Saccharomyces cerevisiae S288C: one gene and its partner. Changing the gene in region 1 together with any one later gene gives a genetic interaction. Each region holds a gene or a part of one and is shown on either strand. Other genes may lie near its edges.

The links.
Region 2: mutations in CMS1 (region 1) and NOP6 together harm fitness more than expected from each alone (negative genetic interaction), as found in Saccharomyces cerevisiae (2 studies listed by BioGRID).

Annotation. Positions count from the first base shown.
Region 1 is NC_001144.5:156,352-159,667, forward strand, and holds CMS1 (Cms1p), read right to left. Parts: upstream 1,380-3,316; coding exon 504-1,379; downstream 1-503. Other genes in the region: THI73 (Thi73p), read right to left, coding at 1,583-3,154. UniProt on the Saccharomyces cerevisiae protein: May play a role in the regulation of DNA replication and cell cycle control.
Region 2 is NC_001136.10:76,521-79,819, forward strand, and holds NOP6 (Nop6p), read right to left. Parts: upstream 1,447-3,299; coding exon 769-1,446; downstream 1-768. Other genes in the region: serine/threonine protein kinase PRR2, read right to left, coding at 1-25; SHR3 (Shr3p), read left to right, coding at 1,906-2,538; YDL211C (uncharacterized protein), read right to left, coding at 2,774-3,299. UniProt on the Saccharomyces cerevisiae protein: Predicted to be involved in rRNA processing.

The DNA of each region.
Region 1 (3,316 bases):
CAGCTTTTATCCCGGAATTATACTCTTATGATTGAAGACATAAAATGCCAAGTTTATACCATGAAAATACTATATATGGCAGGCAGGTGAATGAGATGAGATAAAATTTTCAGTTTTCGGGCATCGCTGAAAAAATTCAAAAACTAAAGTAAAACGACGTCCCATGGTCTACTCTACGGTGAAGAAAATGAGGGAAGACATTGAATTTCTGAATCTAAGTAACTACAAAAAAGCATACACTCCATGGAAAGAGTAAAATAGGATAAATTGGTTTTATGTAGTTAAAGAAAAAATACATTGTTATATATGGAGTTTGCTGCGCGCCTAGGCGTTCTCGAAGTTTCTCCTTTGATTTTACTTTTTGGAAGGGCTTTGGACAATTTAAAGAAGATAATTTGAAGTACCCCATCAAATGCTAGAATGAAATATTTAATATACTAAATTAAGGCTGGTATTTAAAAACGTAATCTTATGTGTAGAACCTCAGTGAAAAAGCGCTATTATTAATATAACAGTATTTTCACGGAGCTTTTTTTATTCAAAAAGGTTTTCAAGACTTGGCAGAGGACGGCTGCATTCTCGAATGATAATATAGTATTATCCTTAGGATCTAAATAACTTGCATCAAGAATGATATCTAACTTTTCCTTACCTTGGAAAAGTAAGTCAGTAGCTTCTATAATTTTCTGCATTCTTGTTGGAGTGGCAATAAAATATAGTGAATCTTTATTTTTGTTTGATTTTTTAGAGCTGTCAGTAAGTAAACGTTCCACGGTGGCTATGTCATCCTTTAGTTTACTTTTAGAGAATAATTTGACGCAATTTTTGCCACCGTTTAGACTACGATAAACGTCTGCTACTCTAATATTAGACATAGAAAAAACAATTTTTTTTGGAGCTACGGAAAATTTTTGAATAAAGGCTGGGAAATTGCTTAATCTGCGTTCAGCGTCAAATTTTTCTGTCGAAAGAAAATCATTTCTTTTGAAGTAAAGTTCCTCTAATTCTAAAACACTCAAGTCAGGATTTTTTTCTCGTATCAAAGTTGTTAGGTACTCAATAATTTTTTCTGGTGAACTTGCTGGAAGTGCTTTTCGTTGTGAGACGATATACTGGCTTTCCTCTTTCTTTTTCTCAATTAGCTTTGATTTTTTCTGTAGCTTTTTCTGTCTTTTCGAAATAGGTCTATTCGAATCATCTTCTGAATTTCTCTCCTCTTTTTTCCCATCTATATCATCAACGTCATCGTCATCTTGTTCTATAGACCTCTTTTGTACCTTTTTGGTTGGGGGACTACCATCCTTGGCGTCAAAAATTACTTCATGTTCGGCATCAAAATCATAGGCGAGTCCATCATCTAAATCATCTGGATTAGACATTTTCAGCTCAATTGTCCTGACGATATGTTTAGAAGTTAGTAGCGGGGATCAAATTTCGACTTTCATTGCCTCATCCATGGTCATCTCAAAAATTTTCTCTTCAATTTTTTGGTAAATACCAAGTGCAATGAATGTTTGGGTGTCTTTGAATATTGAATATTACAGACTAAAAATATTATATATTGTAAATTAAAAGTTGATTATTAGTAAATGTACCTGAAATTTCTGTTTTCGATATCAGTCAAGTCCAAAAATTGGTACTTCTTCCTTTCTTGACCTTCTTGTTCCTTATCACGCTTTTCGTTCTCCTTCTTGCAAATGTAGCCAATGTATAATTGTAGGGGAACACAAACACACTGAGTGACCAATAAGGCAATCTTTGCTGGTATGTAACGTGGAGCAGAGTATGCCCTAAACATCTGTGGAGCAATAATACAGGAGACATTGTATACAATCATTGTAATAGCATTTCTAAAAACTCTTTTGGTGTAACCGGAGGTGTTGCATGAATTCCAGATGTAAATATTGGTAATGACACAGGAACCACTGTAAAGCAAGTACAGAGAAAATAAGTTACCGATCTTATGGGATAAGGGTAAACTGATAAGAACGATACAACCTATAATAGCTGGAATATACATAGATGTGGTTATGAGTGTGATATGACCCCAGCGGGACAACATTTGAGTTGTTATAAGAATAATCATAGCCGTAATGGCACCAATAGGCAACTGCAGTAATGCTGTTTCGTACTTGTCGAAACCAAAAGTACCAGTGATGGTCACTGAAAATGTACCAATGGCACCAGTAGAAATTTGAGAACATGCAGTTAATAAAAGCATCGGCCAAGTAAACTTATCATGAAGGAATAGTTCTTTAACTTGCTGCTTCTTAAACTTCTTTGTTTCCAGGCCAGTTTGGTTAGCTCTGATATGCTCAACAACTTGAATTTTTTCCTCTTTGTTTAGGAACCAAGCATTGGTGACGTTATCTGGAAGGTATAAGAATGTTAGAACACCAAACGCAACTGTAACCAGACCAACGACCAAAAACATTATTTGCCAAGAGGTGAAAGCGGTACCATGATAATGTAAAAAGCCAAAAGAAATTAACCCGCCCACAATATAACCTGTACCAGCCTGTGTGGCCCAGAATCCAATTCTTGCACTCTGTTCAGATTTAGTATAGTACATACCACTAATAGCGATACAACCAACTGCACTCGAGGATTCAAAGAGACCTAGGAGAGTACGAACGACCATCAACGAGGCGTACGTCTTACAAGCAGCATGGCAAGCCAACACGATACCCCAGACGGTAATAAAAGTACCTAGGATTTTGGAAATGGGGAATTTTTGAATTAAGTAAGTGACCACAGGTTCCATGAAAATGTAAGCAGCAGAAAAGATAGTACCCAAATTAGAAAATTCGTTACCTTTCAAATGATCTTTGATACCCATAGATGCAGCGTAGTTCAGCAGAGCCTTATCCAAAAACATCAGAAGATATGTACAGCATAAAAAGGGCAGGATGAAGAGGTCAACTTTTCTCAGGACCTTAGGAGATAATTCATGGGAACCATAGAAGTTGGCTTCTTCGCCTGCTACAACATCGTCTTCATTAGCCGTGGAGCTTTCGTCGAGACCGTTCTGTTTCAGGAATCTTAAAGCAACGTCCGCATCGTCTACATTAATGCTCGAGGTACTTACGGAACAACTATCAGCGTTAGCTGCCTTCTTCTCCACGTCCATGGATCGTTGTGACATGTTTTTCATTGTATTGATTTGCTGACACTCTCACTACTTCTCAGCAACAACAAAGTAAACTTTAATCTATCATACTTTGAACTATCTTATATACGTGTATATATGCACCCGCTGAGATGCTCATCGAGATTGCTCATCACCTCTGAAAAGGCTGTCTGTCACCACCATGTT
Region 2 (3,299 bases), on another chromosome or scaffold:
ATCGCAGGATTCTAGACAACGACATCACTCCGTATGATAAGTAAAAGGATTACGTACGCTATTGTGAACGTTTTTGCAATCTATCTAGTTTTTCCTATTAACTTTTTTCTTTTCAAAAATTCATAAAGGCAAGGAAATATGTTCCGATTGACAATAAGTTCAGTGAGTGAATGAATGTTAATGAAAAGAATTCAATTTCCAGATTTTCGTATTTATTTTTTTTTTTTGCACCTTTCCTTATTGTGTGACCACAGCCGAAGGTGACGAAGGGATGGAGACTAGCCAAAGAGAGCCGGCTGTTAGACAAAAAAAAAAGCGGAGATTGTTTAACGGATACGTCTTAATAAGCAATCCGGCAGCACCGAGAATGTTTTTACCCTCTGTCCTTTTTCTTGGCGTTCCTATAATTCAAATAACCCCCAATATGCTAACAGCCGTAACCTTAAATGTTAGACATGTTACCCCTGTACGTCATTGCGGGGGGAGTGCATTGATTAAGGGGTAGTAGTAAAAATTCCCACCGGACTTGAAGTGCGGAAAAGTAGCTCCGATTTGGGGAAAAAAAAGTACCAGCCGTCTCGTCTTTCATGATAAAGTGAAATAGAGCAGCGGTAATAATGCGGCGCTATTGCTTCCGGAAGAGTTTACGTATTGGGCATCTTTGCCATTTCTTTTTTTGGCAGTAGCATGATTCTGCACGATTATTTATGTTTTTCCCTTTATTTTCTTTTTGTCTAAGATACATGGCGTATAAAATTAAATTTGTACTCATTTAAGTAGTTTGGCTCTATCAGGATGAATTCCTGCAGGAACAGGCTTGTTGTCTGTTCCAGAGGTTTGAGCTGCAGTGGCGGTAGTTTTGGCGATTTTCTTTTGGTTGCCGTCGTTAATCATCTTTGTCAACCTCTCTTTACGTTCTTCATCCAACTTGATGTTTTTGTTTTTCAATTTTTCTAGACGCTCTTGACTGTTACCACCTCCGCCAACAGTTAGCTCGACATTGATCTTCTTCTCTTTCAGTAAGGTCCCATGTTGTAATAAGGCAATGTCCATACGTCTTTGAATGCCGGTGCGATCTTTGTCAGCATCGAATTCCAAAAATGCAATACCTTTGTCAGCTCTGAGGCGGATCTGGTCGGGTGAACTATTTTTAAAATGGTTTTGCAATTCAACAGCAGTGATGTCTCTAGGTAAGCTACCGACAAAGACAATAAATCTGTTGCCCTTTTTACCATTTTTGCCCTTACCACCACGGCCTCTACGTGTTTTTCTTTTTTTCTTCACGGGTTCTTCACCATCATTTCCGGCTGCACTGTTGGGTCTTTTTCCTTCTGGTGCTTGCTCTTTTTTTACGTCTTTCTCTTGATCTTTTTCCTCCTTACTTTTTCTAAACTGCTGAGCTTTGAGCTGCTTCTTGGTCAACTTTTTATCTTCCTCGGACCCCATTTTAGCTGTAGACGTCTTCAATCTCTATCCTGTCCTCTACATTAGATTACTTTCTCATTTTCTCAGAAAACCTTTTAAGCTCATCGATTAAGAAGAAAAAAATCTTAGAAAATTTTCAGGAATGCCGGGTAAACGTATGGGGAAAGGACTTGGTGAATCGAGTTAATGTGGAGTTCGTAATAATAGTACTCTCATACCAAGTTTTCCATCCATAATTGTTTTTGGTTGCCGTTACTTTACACCATCACCTTTCGCCAATGTAATTGGTGGCTCTTTCCCTCTCCATCTTTTTTTATAATGTACTAAAATTAATACACGATAACAATTTTTTCGGGTTGTGTAAAAACTCTGAAAAATATAAAAAGTTGATGAAAGGACAGATTTAAGTATTTTGGAAGACAGCCGTAAATTCATTGGACTACAGAGCATAAAATCCCGTGATACGATAAAACTCTAACGATGTTCTCATATTCAGATTTCTGTTCTATCGGTACGGCCATGATCTTATCGGCCACAACGTTCCTAATGGGTGTTTTCTTCAGTAACATGCCATACGATTATCATCTTTTATTTAATCCTAACTCTACTCAAGAGCATTTCGATTTGGCACTGAGACATTACCAAATTTTACATGAGACTCCATTGCCGGTGATTGTTACTTTGTGCGTTGTTGCCGGTATTGGCTTAGTTGGTGGTACAATTAAGGTTTTCAAGCCAAACCCTGAACTGCAGATGTTTGAGTATTGTTCATTGGGGTTGTACGTGTTGGCTATCTGTGTGTTTCTCACTAATGTGAAAACAGGTATCGACTGTTCTGTGAGCCATAATTGGGGAGAAGTTACGGAAAATCAGGGTTTGGCAGTTATTGCTTCCTCCAACATAATTTTATTAGTTATGTTTGCCGGTGTTATCATCCTACAAATTGGTTTGTGGTACAGTAACTGGGATTTGCAAAAAAGATTAAAGGAGTTTTATGCTCAAGAAGAAAGAGAAGCTGCCAATGCCGGTAAAAAGACTGAGAAAGTTGACAATGCGAAAAAGAATGATAACAAATCTAAAGGTGCTCAAAAGAGGAAGAACGCCAAAAAATAGGCCATAATATTTTTAACATTTTCTCTTTTTGTCCCTCTTTTCCCGTCTGTGACGAAACAGACGATTATACGAATCTAGTTGTATAGTAAGATCAATATTTATTATATAAATACTGTTGAATAAATAAAACTCTATCTGCTTCGTGCATAAATTTACAAATAATTCCAAAGAAATAGCAACAAGTACCAGCCTTGTTTAGAAGTACGAAAATCTTGGAATCCACTTTTTTCTATTTTTAAATAATTTCTCTCAAAAAGCTATTGGTTTGCTGAATATTTGGCCGAGTAATAGTAGACGCACTGGAACTTGTTTCTTCAATGGATGACTCCGCAGATTCATTGTATGACGATACGTATGAAAATCTCCCGGATTCGTGATCCGCCATCCCATAATAAGGATGTGCTATATATATACCGTCTGAGGAACTAGCTCTGTGTAAATCTCTACCATTTTCAAAGGAATCTCGTTTGCCCTCGCCGTTGGTTGTTACTTTATAATTAAGGACATTTAGGAACGGATTTGACGGTGCTTCTGTTTCTGTTACCTCATCACAACTTACCCTCTTGCCAATATCATGGCTAAAGCCCTTTTTGCTGTGATTTTTCACGTTTCGTCTGTTTCTAATAATTATGAATCCGATAAAAATTACTATTACAACTCCAATGACAACTCCAACCGTAGAACCGACAATAACTCCGGTCCTTCTATTATTGGCATCTGAGGTATCTTGAGTGTTTAGTGCACCAGATAGATATTGATAA